Linked DNA regions of Macaca mulatta. The protein of the gene in region 2 purifies or fractionates together with the protein of the main gene of each other region. This does not show direct contact. Links are inferred from orthologs where the notes say so. Each region holds a gene or a part of one and is shown on either strand. Other genes may lie near its edges.

Region 1 (6,682 bases), on a different chromosome or scaffold from region 2:
CTAGGAAGAGCTGCCACAAACTCCCTTAGATGACCATTTCCATGCAGTCAAATACCTAAAATTCAGAAGGGGTAAGACCTCTATTGTTTAATGCTTTATTTACTGTAACTAGGGCAATGTAAATCAAACCTTCAACATATCTGTGTCCCATAGTTTCTCTGTCTTTTTTCAGGGCCAATTTGACTTCATCTTCTGATTCAAGTTCAACAAAAGCCTCGCCACTTGGTCTGCCTTCTCTGGTGTAGATGAAACGAATACCTTGAGCCCCATTTTGAATTTTGCAGTCTGGAAAGAAAACAACCGTTAATACGGAATTTAAAACCTAAAACCACCTCTGGGTGACACAGATTAAATGTCTATTCCGTGTCCCCACTACAAATTACGTAACTTGTGAAGCCTGCATATAATGATGGTATTACCAACTCCTGGAACTCCAATAAAAAAAAAAAAACCTCATTCCCAAGGTGATGTATTTCCAACCCATCAACAACATACAATATTCAAAGCAGTTTCAGAATGAATTTCTCTCTTAAGTCCCTGCTACTTATGTCCACATCACACATCTTTTATCAATTTCTCAGAACATTATCAAGCCTGGACTTTGTGACTTTATGGCAAACCTACTTCGTTGCGAGTTGCTTTGGTCTGGTCTGGCGCGTTTGTCAAGTTTTACCTTACCAGCAGCCACATTACGGTTTCTCATTCAAATCCAAATTACAGGCCCAATACTCACCTGAAAGGGGATCAGTGTTACCAAGCTAAAATGCTCCAAGTTGCACAGCTGAAGCCAAACCCAGCGTTGCCCCCTGCAAGGTGGCTTCCAGTGTACTTGGTTCTTGTTTTACAGGTCGTTTTCCGTTACCAATGCTAAATTCAGATAGTAAGTCAACACTACAAACGTCTTGCCAAAAGCTGTCAATTTCATACAAGTAGAATTTTATCAGTCTAATTTTTCCCAGTCTAATAATGGGAACAAGGACATTCTGATAGAAAATATTCAGGAAACCTAGGGACTGCAAAAACACTTCCCTGGGTTTCAGTGTTTTCAATTGTATAGTCAGCCAAATTAAGAACTAGATGAGCACACACTCTTCAATTACCAAATCTTGATTAGGAAAACTGAAATTAAGACGTGACATTTTAACTTTCCGAAGAATGCTCCTTTTCAAGGAAACACCAGAACTGGAAACAAGAGATTACACTTCAAGATACTGAAAAACATTACTATTATTGGTCTAATTACTCGGCAATTTTCTCGAGATTGAGGAGGAAACCCACCTATGCCAATTCATCTTTTCGCAAAAAGACACCGGAGCCAGGCGCGGTGGCTCACGCCTGTAATCCCAGCATTTTGGGAAACCGAGATGGGCTGATCACTTGAGGTCCAGAGGTTCGAGACCAGCCTGGCCAAAATGGTGAAACCCCGTCTCTACTAAAAAAACAAAAATTAGCCGGGCGTGGTGGTGCGCGCCTCTAGTCCCAGCTCCTCGGGAGACTGAGGCAGGAGACTCGCTTGAACCCAGGAGGCGGGGGCTGCAGTGAGCCGAGATCGCGCCACTGCACTCCAGCCTGGGTGACAGAGACTCCCAACACAAAGGAAAAAGAAAAACGACATCCATAAAAGAAAAGTTGGTGTTCAAAGGTAGTAAAGAAATCAAAGGGTCTGCCAGATCTGCCGCACTCCCCCCGCAGGGCCAGGAGGACGGGCGGGGCTTTCGAAAATTCCATTGCGTAACCGCGGCCGGCCGGGCGCGAGCCACACGGCGGTGAGTGCAGTCGCCCGCGCCTCGCCAGGGGGCGCCCCGGGTCCCGCCGCCCCGCCCCGCCCCAGCCCGGCTGCCCGCCAGCCCGCCCGCCCCGGCCTCGAACTCGAACTCCCGCGTCCTAGTTCTAACTCACCAGAAAAAAACCTCTGCACTTCATCGGCCGAGCAAGACCACGGCAAGCCCCGGACCTTCACCACGAATCCCTCTCCGCCTTCGGTGCCCAACATCATCGTCTCTTACGCGGTCCGGCGTCGAAACAAACTGCAAGGCGGGGAGGACCAGACCTGAGAGCGCCAATTAAGCTGTCCTCCGCCTCCGAGGCGCCCCCGGGCCCGCACCGGCCCCCCCACCAAGCAAAAACCGGGGGGATGCACCCACCCCGGCGGCTCCAATACCCAACACCTCCTCGTCCGGCGGCCGGACCCCCAAAAGCTGTTCTGAGCAGCAACCGTCGGCGCCCCGAACCGTGGGGGCCCGGGCCGAGCCAGCGTGGAGGAAAGGAAATGGCGGCGGCCGCTTCCGCTCCGCCTCCTCCGACTTCTCACACAATAGAGTCGGCGCGGCCTGCAGGCCTCAGCTGCGGTGCCGACATTCAGCGAACCACTCGCGGCTCTCGATGGCAGCCCGCAGCTCGCCAAGGTCCCCGTGGCCCTCCCAGAGGTATGAGGACAACCAATCCTCGCAAAAACGGCGCCCACGGTGGTCGGTGAACTGCAAGCGAGGACCCACCGAGACTCACCCAGAAACCCGACTTCTGCGTGGCTAAGACGAAATGGCCAGCGGGCGCCTGCGCAACCTAAATAAGGCCCTTTGTGCGAGTTCTGCGCACGCGCAGCCAGCTGCCCGCACCGCCCCGTTGCGTCACAAAGAGCTCTGGCGCATGCGTAGTTTCAAGAGCCAGCCCACCGTCCGCCGGCGGATTATTACACGCTTGGGATTTGGGCGCAGCACCCCCACCCATAAACCCGCCGGGCTTTTTATTGCGCATGCGCCTTCCCGCGAATATTGAACTTGGGAGTCTTAGCGGTTTATAATTGTTTCATGCGCATGCGTCTTCCTTGAAACCGTTCTCTAGCCTTACCCGCCAGCGTGGGGGAGGGGAATGGCGGCCGCCTGTTCCCTATGGGACTGTATAGGAGTCCCGAGCTCTGGGTTGAAGAGGTGGGCGTCTTTCTACCCCTTACCCCCTGGCTCTTACCGGTGCGCTCCTGGCCGACCTGAAAGGAGAGGCGCGGCCTTCAGGCGTTCCCACTCCCCGCGCCGCCTGTCTCCCCTTTATCCCCAAACCGGCCGAAGCTGATCAGCCGCAGATGGTCGAGCGTCCTGGGAGCTGCGGGGCTGCGGACGTCCCGCGCCCGAAGCCACCCGGATGGTGCCTGGGGCACGTCCCAGCCATGTGTGCCTCCACTTCCCCTTACCTGCGGTCGTCGGGCCTAGGGCCCCGGTCGGCGCGAGGTTCCCGTGCCTGTGGCTCGCGCCTGTACCCAGCTTTTGCCTAACGAACTCGCACCCTGTGTACCCCTTGACCCGCCTCACGGTCGGTGGGCCTTCCGTGCCCTGGGGCCCTGGCACGAGGAGGAATCGCGAGCGCGGGCTTCTCCACGGGTGCGTGCCGGCCTCTGCCCGGTAGGTTACCGCTGAATCTCCCAGGACAGAATCGGTAACAGTGCGTCCAATCCCCGGGCGTAGACGCCGCATTCGAGGAGACCCCCGGCTCACCCCATGTGCACACATGCTGCCAGATGAGTAATGTTCGTGGTTTCTAACAGCACTGCCCAACACCGAAGATGCCGTAGCCTCCCAGGCCTCCCCAGGTCTGAGCTGGCTGCCCTCCTCACCCCAGCTCTAGTGGACACAGACAATAAACAAATTAACAATAAGGCAGGGTTGGACCTTGCCGCAGGGCTACCTTAGCTAGTGCAGGCCTAAGTGCCACCCTGGGAAGATGCAGACGAAGCATGTTTCCAACCCCAGGGCCACAGAGTCCGAATCCAGTTTTGACAGGTTTGAGAAAAGTAGAGAGGACATCAAAAGAAAGACGGGAGCCCAGAGCTAAGCAGGGCCTGATCTTCAAAAGCCACTTAGGCCTTGGCAAGGATGTTAACTCCGAGAGAAGGCTTTGGCAGGTGATCAGCAGGGGAGCAATAAGCCCTATGCAAAGGAAAACTTGCTGGATGTGAGGGGGATGCAGATGGAGCAGGCAGGGTGAATGACGGTACATGCCATGCCCTCTACTACAAACGGAACTGGAAGCACATATCTGTGGTACCATTTCAGAAAACACTTTGGCTGAGGTAATCAAGAAGAGAGACTCTGGCCAGGTGCGGTGGTTCACGCCTCTAATACCAGCACTTTGGGAGGCCGAGGCAGGCAGGTCACTTGAGGTCAGGAGTTTGAGACCAACTTGGCCAACATGGTGAAACACCATCTCTACTAAAGATACAAAAATTAGCTGGGCATGGTGGCGCACGCCTGTAATCCCAGCTACTCTGGAGGCTGAAGCAGGAGAATCACCTGAACCCAGGAGGCAGAGGAAGCAGTGAGCTGAGATCACACCACTGTCCTCCAGCCTGGGCAACAGAGAAAGACTCCCTCTCAAAAAAAAAAAAAATATTAGCCAGACATGGTGGCATATACATGTAATCCCAACCACTTGGAGAGACTGAGGCAGGAGAATTGCTTAAACCCAGTAGGCAGCGGTTGCAGTCAGCTGAGATCATGCCATTGCACTCCAGCCTGGGCAACAAGAGCGAAACTCCATCTCAAAAAAAAAAAGAATAATAGTGAGGTAGAATAAATTTCATACATTTATAGCCAATGCTCTTATATATAAATTGTCCAACTTATATTAAAACAAGGTTTTTAAATATTTATTTTTTATTTATTATTTATTTATTTTTGAGAAACGGCCTCACTGTCACCCAGGCTGGAGTGCAGTGGTGCAAACATGGCTCACTACAGCCTCTACCTCCTGGGCTCAAACAATCCTCCTGCCTCAACCTCCTGAGTAGGTAGGACCACAGGCATGTGCCACCTTGCTCAGATAACTTTTTTATTTTTCTTTTTGTAGCAATGGGGTCTCATTTTGTTGCCCAAGCTGGTCTTGAATTCCTGGACTCAAGGAGTCATCCCACCTCAGCTGCCCAGAGAAAGTGCTGGGATTACAGGTATGAGCCACCATGTCTGGCAATGAAAGAAGGTTTTTTTGTTTGCTTTTGTTTTTGAGACAGTCTCACTCTGTCACCCAGGCTGGAGTACAGTGGTGCAATCTCGGCTCGCTGCACCCTCTGCCTTCCAGGTTCAAGGAATTCTCGTGCCTCAGCTTCCCAAGTCTAAAGGGATTACAGGTGTGTGCCACCACACCTACTTTTTTTTAATTTTTAGTTGAGATGGGGTTTTGCCACGTTGGCCAGGCTGGTCTGGAACTCCTGACCTTAAGTGACCTGCCTGCCTCGGCCTCCCAAAGTACTGAGATTACATGCATGAGCCACCACGCTCAGCCAAAGGTTTTTTAAAATAAAAAGTTCATCATCAGCCCAGGCGAGGTGGCTCATGCCTGTAATCCCACCACTTTGGGAGGCCAAGGCCGGTGGATCACGAGGTCAGGAGTTCGAGACCAGCCTGACCAACATGGTGAAACCCCCTTTCTACTAAAAATACAAAACGTAGCCGGGTGTGGTGGCGGCGCGTGTAATCCCAGCTACTCAGGAGGCTGAGGCAGGAGACTCACTTGAACCTGGGAGGTGGAGGTTGGAGTGAGCAGAGATTGTACCACTGCACTCCAGCCTGGGCCACAGAGCAAGACTCCATCTCAAAAAAATTCACCATCTTGCCTCAGTGGTCTTTATGTCTTGGTACACTTCTTATAGTTTACAGAGCTCTTTGTTAAGGCTGTTAGCCCTTAGGATAGTTGCCCCAAACATTCTTCTCAGTTTGCCTACCTTTTAATTATTTTTGTGGTTTTGTGGTGGTATTTTTTGTTTGTTTTACAGACAATGTCTTGTTCTGTGCCGTGACACAATCATAGCTCACTGCAGCCTTGAACTCCTAGGCTCAAGCCATCCTCCACACTCAGCCTCCTGAGTAGCTAGGGCTACAGGCACTTTCAACCAGGCCTGACTAATTGTTTGTATTGTTTTGTGGTGATGCGGGTCTCACTATGTTGCCCAGGCTAGTCTTGAATTCCTGGCGTCAAGCAATTCTCTCACCTTGGCCTCTCAAAGCACTGGAATTATTCTACATGTGAGCCATGATGCTCGGCCCCGATTTGTGATTGCTTTTTTTTTTTTAAGACAGGATCTCACTTTGTCACTCAGGTTGGAGTGCAGGTATGTGATCTCGGCTCACTGCAACTTCCACCTCCTGGGTTCAAGCAATTTTTGTGCCTCAACCTCCCAAATTGCTGGGATACCCCAGGCGCAGTGGCTCACACTTGTAATCCCAGCACTTTGGGAGGCCGAGGTGGGTGGATCTCTTGATGTCAGGAGTTTGAGACAGCTTGGCCAACATGGTGAAACCCTGTCTCTACTAAAAATACAAAATTAGCCAGGCGTGGTGGTGAGTGCCTGTAATCCCAGCTACTTGGGAGGCTGAGGCAGGAGAATCACTTGAACCCAGGAGGTGGAGGTTGCAGTGAGCAGAGATCCCGCCAGTGTACTCCAGCCTGGGCAACAGAGGGAGACTCCATCTCAAAAAAAGAAGGAAAAAAGTACCAAATAGCTGGGATTACAGGCAGGCACCATCACACCTGGCTAATTTTTGTATTTTTAGTAGAGATGGAGTTTCACCATGTTGGCCAGGCTGGTCTGGAACTCCAGACCTCAAGTAATCCACCCACCTCAGCCTCCCAAAGTGCTGGAATTACAGGTGTGAGCACTGCACCCGGCCTATGATTGCTTTTTAATATTTGGACATAT
Region 2 (6,887 bases):
GGCAAGGGAGATTTTTAAGAACCTTACAAACATGACTCACATCCACTGTGTACATGTGTATGGTCCTACTCACCTCTCTGTGATCCAGCAGACTGCATCTCTTGTTTAGAAAGGGCCTTTTTCACTTCACAATTATGCCCATTAATAGTGTGGTATTTCTGAACTAAATTTTTTTTTAATCAAACAAAACAGAAAGTTATTTTATGTTTGGAAAAGCACATATACGAGATACCCTCTGTCATTATGTAACCCATTAAGACATAATCAGGTAGTTACTCTGGGAATGAAGGAGCATTCTGAGATGTTAATGTTTATTTCTTGATCTGGATACTGATTACACAGGTATAGACACTATAAAAACTGACTATACACTATAAATGCCATTACACGCAACAGAAAATTACAAGCAGTTTAGCAAATTTAGTTCAAGACAGAAAACCCACGTCTACTTTCTCATTCGAGTTACCATAAATTGTTACTTACCAACAATTTTATCAACTGTATCATGATCATCAAAAGTTACAAAAGCAAATCCTCTCTTTTTTCCACTCTGCCTGTCTTCCATAACTTCTATGGTTTCAATTTTGCCATACTTTTCAAAGTAGTCTCTCAAATTATATTCTTCTGTATCTTCTTTAATACCACCAACAAAAATTTTCTTCACTGTTAGATGGGCACCAGGCTTTACAGAATCCTATAAATAAAGTAATAAATTAAGTCAAGAAACAAACTTTCACAACAATTTCATATATTACACAATATATTATTAAAATACCTCTCTAGAAACAGCTCTCTTTGGTTCCACTACACGCCCATCAACCTTGTGTGGTCGAGCACACATTGCTGCATCCACCTCTTCAACACAAGAATAAGTCACAAAACCAAAGCCCCTGGAACGTTTTGTTTGGGGGTCTCTCATTACCTACAAAATAAAAGTTTTACAACGTTGAAAACATCTCCACGGATTCTCTTCAACACTTAGAACCCTTCTATTCCCTTAGTGTAACTTACCACACAATCTGTGAGTGTGCCCCATTTCTCAAAATGTTCTCTTAAACTATCATCTGTAGTTTCAAAGCTCAGACCACCAATAAACAGTTTTCTCAACTGCTCTGGTTCCTTTGGATCATGGCCCTGAGAGAAAGAACCAATACTCTTAAATTATCTTACAGTAGATGGATTAAGATGCACGAAGAGCCTTTAATGTACTGTAAGTAATAAAATCAACATCAAATTCCTGTGACAATTAACACTTTGTCCAGTTAACTCTGACCAGACACTGGGCGCGGTGGCTCATGCCTGTAATCCCAACACGTTGGGAGGCCGAGGCAGGTGGATCACCTGAGATCAGGAGTTCAAGACCAGCCTGGCCAACATGGCGAAACCTCATCTCTACTAAAAACACAAAAACTAGCTGGGCGCGGTGGCAGGCGTCAGTAATCCCAGCTACTCGGGAAGCTGAGGCAGGAGAATCGCTTGAAGCCAGGAGGCGGAGGATGCAGTGAGCCAAGATCGTGTCATTACACTCCAGCCTGGGCGATAGGAGCGATACTCCGTCTCAACAAAAACAAAACAACAACAAAAAAATAAACAACAAAAACTTTGACCAGAAATACAGACTTCAACTGTTAAAAGGGCTAACTCTGTCAAGGAAACCTATAACCAGCCTTTCAAATGCCAACATCACTTCAACTAAACTGAAATCCAAGACAAATCCAGAATCTAAAAACCCTTCATTTTTTAAAAGCTGCAATTGTCTGAAAACCTTTACTTTAGAAGTTGCTAATGAGAAGTCATTTTCTAAGGCACTAAACTGCTGGAGAAGCAGTGTTGCATCTATCCCACTTCAACTCTTCTCAGTCTACATCCCAACATGCTTTTAATTTTAAACTCCAAACTGTGATGAACAATCTAAAAGTTCTAAATGTCAAACTTACAGAAACTCACTGCTTTCAAGCAAATTAATTTAAAATAGGCATTCCTAAGCCAAACCAGCATCTCCCAAAAAAACTAAGAGGAAAAAAAAAAAGCCGACCAAATAGCTTTCTATAACCCATGTTTGTTATATGCTGCAAAAATCTTCATTTTATGACTCAATTTTAAGAGTCACAACAAACTGCCAAGTTGAACTTACATTAGGAATGGTATGTATTGTCTGACCATAAGAACGGAGCACAGCAAAACAAAAATTGAGATTTTTAAGAATTAGGATGTCTTGAAATTGTTTTATACTTCAGTCAGACTTCTTAACACATTGCATGAACTGTTATTTAATGCATGAAGGTTTCCTTCACCCGAAGTCCTTAAATAAGGGGGCTCACATTTACATTCTCATGTCTTCAAGTGTCTTCTAGAGGTAGAGATGTTAAGGCATTTAATGTGAAGATTGTCACATGCTAGAAAAAAATGTTAAGAGCCTAAAGCATTAATTCACGTAGTCTCATCTTTTCAAGTCTTGGATAAATGTATTCGATTGACAATAACGAAATCGACAAAAATATTTAGGATCCACATTAAATGTACTGCAAACAAGTGAAAATTTCAACTTTGGTTGCAGTCCTCTAAATAAAATTCCAGGAAACTACAAGCAGAGCCGACTCAAAGAATGGGAAAACATGAAGATAAAAAACATTTTAAAATTCTTCCTTAACATCTACACTCAAATTCTTCTCCACCCACCCTCCCCAACGGCCGGGGTCGGTAAAAAGCTGGCTGGGTTTTCACATCTGCACTCAAGTTCTCAAATACTAAGTTCTTCGCCCACATGGCGGTTTGAGAAGTGTAATGTAACTACTTCAGCAAAAACAGGAAGTATTCTAAAGCAGCAAAGTTTTTAACAATCTCATATTTCCAACAGGATGCTGCGAAGAAAAGAACAGGCCAATTATCGACTTCTCCTCGCGGAGAGAACCGGTAAAATGCCCAGAAAAGCGTCCGCCGAACTTCAGCGAAAGCACTACCTTCTCGTGCTTCGAGGCCATTTGCGGCATTTTCTGCCGGGCCGCCTCCGCCCTCTTCTCTCCAATCCCAGGCTCTCTTTCCCGGCGGCAGAGCGAGGCGGCGGCCATTGCGGGCCAATGCGCCATTTCGTAACACGGCGGCGGATCAATGTCAATGTGGCCGCCGCCCGCCTGCTCGCTCGCCCGGATGTGCCTGCTCGTCCCTTCCCCTCCCCCACAACCTCTTCCCAACCGCTCCCGCCGGGGCCCGCCATGCCGCCCTCGGCCTCGCTTCTGAGGCCGCGCAACCGGCAGGCCGGCTTCCCTCCCGGGACCTCCCCGACCACGCCGCGCCTCCAAGGGGCCGCCTGTGTAGCCGAAGATGAAGGCGAGGCGGGTGAGGGGCCCCGAGGAGGTCTCCAAGGCCCGCTCCCCTCCCCCTCCCACCGCCCGTCTCAACGCAAGAGCGCGGGACGGCCGCCCCGGTTCACCCGGCCTCCCCGCTCCCACCGAACCAGGCCCCCCACGCCGGCCATTCCCCACCAACCCCCCGCTCTCCCCCTAATACCTCCTCCCCCCGGCGGCGACGGCGACGGCCGGAGTCGGGCTGGGGGCGACCGGGCGGCGGTTTTACCTCCATTTTGAGACCGGACTCGCCTCTTCCAACTCGAGTTCAATATGGGACCGAGAGGAAGAGGCGGGGCCAGTCGTCACGTGACGCGTTTTCCGCGCGCCGCCAGTCTGGTGGGGGAGGAGCGAGCTGGGAAGGGGGCGGAGCCAAGCGGGCGCGAAGAACGACTGGACCAGCGGGTTGGCGGGCGGAGGGCGGAGGCGCGGCGTGCCGCGGGAGCGCGCGCGCCTCGCCGACTTTCAGGGCAGGACCGCCTTGGCGCCGTTCGCGTCCGGACGAGTTCCGGGACGTCAGTTCGGTCTCCGCCAATGGTGAGCGTCCACGTAGAGAAAACGCCTCGTGATCGCGCGTCACCAGAGAGAAAGGCCTTTCCTTTTCTTCTCGCGCTTGTGCCTCCTTCCCCCGCAGGCCTCTAGTTTTCCTTTTCCGAATTCATTCCATTCCTGTGCCCGAAATAAAACCTACGTTTTTCTTGCTTGTAATTTAAAGGTTGCAGGTAAAACCCCTTAGCCCTTCGGACCACCTATCCTGTTTCCAAATGCCAGGGACCAGTGTCTGTGACTGCGGCGCCCACCTGAGGGCATGTACTGAAAATCCCTGCGGCTCCGACGTGTAGGAATCACAGGCACCCTGGGCAGGCCTCAAAACGCGGCCGACATACAGAATTTTTACCATTAACGACCTGAGGCAGGACTGGTGGAGGTCAGTTCATTAGTTACTGATCTCAAGAAACAAGTCAGGACTATTTTCTAATGTGCTTCTTTCAAGTTAGTGTGGAAAGAGCTGATGCATCTGTTGTAGCTGACGGAATTTAAGGAACTGAATAATTGACAAGATTTTCAGAAAAGCAGGGTCGCCAGATAATGCTACCAGTTTGCGAAAGATTGTTACCGTAATGCTCTAGAGATCTAATCCTTTCTCGGCCTAGTCAGATGATTTTAAATCATTTGACTTCACAGAGCTGTAGTTTCAGTTTTTTACATGAAAAGGGGGATGGGATTAGGTCATCTTCTAACACCCAGGCCAGCCATAAATTGATAATCTATGAATCCATATTTAAAGTTACTGATAAAAATAACCACAATTGACGAGCCTCCCTTCCCTGTTAGAAAATGCTTTATATTTTAATTTAGCAACCCATGTGACCAACTCTTTTAGAATTGAACTGGTTCTCCCTAGGAAAGGTTAGAAATCTAATCAGTTACATTAAAAGTTTCTGTTAACAAATGGGGAGTGGTCGACTTCGAGTTTGGAAAAGGGAGCGCAAAGTCTAAGAATTTGTTAATTTATTTAACCGTTGCCCCAGGAGGACCTGCGTTATAGTTTGGAAACATGCACAAAGGGTAGTTTTGTGGGGCAGAAACCAGTTAGCAGTCCTTAATGTAATTTGGATGAAATAACCGTTCAAACCAGACTCCTCCTGTTGCTTTGATTCCTTTTTCGCAAACTTTCACGTATTCTGCGTATCCAGGTGCTCCTGATGGCCAGCAATAGACTTGAGACATTGTAAGAATGTATAGCCTTAGCGTCTAGTTAGTGTTAAGATTTTCTAAGTCTGATTACTGTGAAATAGTCCTGGTAATTTTATCAATTCTGGATACAAAGAAAAATGCAAAGTGAAAGACCTTTGGAAAGTGGTATTCACACCAGAGTACCCTATGAAACACTACATAGGTGATCAAGAAGAGTGATCACCTGGCTGCACTTTAGGGTATGTTTTTCCAGGTTTTTCTAATCAAGTTAATTCTAATCAATAACTTTTGTTCTAATTAATAACTTTTGTATAAATGTTAATGTTAAATCGCGAAACAATGTGGGATGGGATACTAAGTTCTCTCCAGGAACATGAAATGTCAGTCCATTTATTCACATCTTTTTGTCCTCCCCATTGTATTGGTCCAGATTTGTTGTTCATCCTGACTGTGTGCTGTTTTTAGACGTTATTTTTTATGCTTTTGTCTAAACTTAAGCTCTGGCTGGGCGCCATGGCTCACACCTGTAATCCCAGGATTTTGGTAGACCGAGGCAGGCGGGTCACCTGAGGTGGAGAGTTTGAGATCAGCTTTGCCAACATGGTAAAACACCATCTCTACTTTTAAAAAATACAAAAGTTAGCCGGGCATGGAGGCACACGTCTGTAATCCCAGCTGCTTGGGAGGCTGTGGCACGAGAATCACTTGAACTCAGAAGGCGGAGGTTGCAGTGAGCGGAAATTGGCCCAGTGCACTCCAGCCTGGGTGACAGAGCGAGACTCCGCCCCCTCCCCCACCAAAACAAAGGCCGGGCGCAGTGGTTCAAGCCTGTAATCCCAGTACTTTGGGAGGCCAAGGCGGGTGGATCATCTGAGGTCAGGAGTTCGAGACCAGCCTGGCCAACATGGTGAAACCCCGTCTTAAAATACAGAATTGGTCGGGTGTGGTAGTGGGTGCCTGTAGTCCCAGCTACTCTGGACGTGGAGACTGGAGAATTGCTTGAACCCGGGAAGCGGAGGTTGCAGTGAGCTGAGATCACACCATTGCACTCCTGCCTGGGTGACTCCATCTCAAAAAATAAATAAATAAACTTAAGGTCCAGTTGTGTCTCAGGTACAAAAAGCACTTTTCCGAAAGTCCTTGACCCTGTAGGGCACAGACTTGAAACTTGGCAATGGTCTACACTTGCAGCCCTGATTCTTTGAAATGAGAAAGGGAGTGTATAGGATGGGAGGAGGGAGTGAGGGTCCTAGGGTTAGATGGGTGGCAGGCAAACTTTATAATCTGTATCAGACCCTCTCCTTTATATCATGACATACAGAAAATGATCATTTTTGTGCAGCGTACTGGGGTAAAATAGAAAATATTTGGAGGCATCTAAATGGTGGTAATGTTTTCTTTTAAGTATCTAATTTTGATAAAATACAAAGTATTAGGAATGATATTAAATATTAAATTTGCAAAAAACTTTCAAATTAAAATTTCCCATGTTTTTTAGTGATCAACTCCTGTGAATATATTTTGATATTAGATTTTATGGTTGAAGTGGCTTTATGCAGTTTCTGATCTAGACTTTTTTTTTTCTTGAGACAGTCTCACTCTGTCACCCGGGCTGGAGTGCAGTGGCATGATCTCAGCTCATTGCAACCTACCACTCCTGAGTTCAAACAATTCTTGTGCCTCAGCCACCCAAGTAACTGAGATTACAGACCCATGCTACCATGCCCAGCTAATTTTGTTACAGAGTCTCGCTCTGTTGCCCAGGCTGGAGTGCAGTGGCACGATCTCTGCTCACTGCAACCTCTGCATCCTGGGTTCAAGCAATTCTCCTGCCTTAGCCTCTCA

The links.
Region 1: the proteins of HNRNPA3 (region 2) and HNRNPH1 fractionate together in Homo sapiens (co-fractionation; 3 studies listed by BioGRID and IntAct, with this or other methods). This does not show direct contact. The link is inferred for Macaca mulatta from reciprocal best matches to the Homo sapiens genes HNRNPA3 and HNRNPH1.

What each region holds. Positions count from the first base shown.
Region 1 is NC_133411.1:188,581,567-188,588,248, forward strand, and holds the start of HNRNPH1 (heterogeneous nuclear ribonucleoprotein H), read right to left. Parts: upstream 3,587-6,682; 5' UTR 3,185-3,586; intron 2,541-3,184; exon of another isoform or gene 2,145-2,540; intron 2,028-2,144; 5' UTR 1,997-2,027; coding exon 1,900-1,996; intron 286-1,899; coding exon 130-285; intron 1-129. UniProt on the Homo sapiens protein: This protein is a component of the heterogeneous nuclear ribonucleoprotein (hnRNP) complexes which provide the substrate for the processing events that pre-mRNAs undergo before becoming functional, translatable mRNAs in the cytoplasm.
Region 2 is NC_133417.1:82,126,140-82,133,026, reverse strand, and holds the start of HNRNPA3 (heterogeneous nuclear ribonucleoprotein A3), read right to left. Parts: upstream 3,637-6,887; 5' UTR 3,580-3,636; coding exon 3,508-3,579; intron 1,135-3,507; coding exon 1,012-1,134; intron 923-1,011; coding exon 776-922; intron 695-775; coding exon 484-694; intron 164-483; coding exon 74-163; intron 1-73. UniProt on the Homo sapiens protein: Plays a role in cytoplasmic trafficking of RNA. Binds to the cis-acting response element, A2RE. May be involved in pre-mRNA splicing.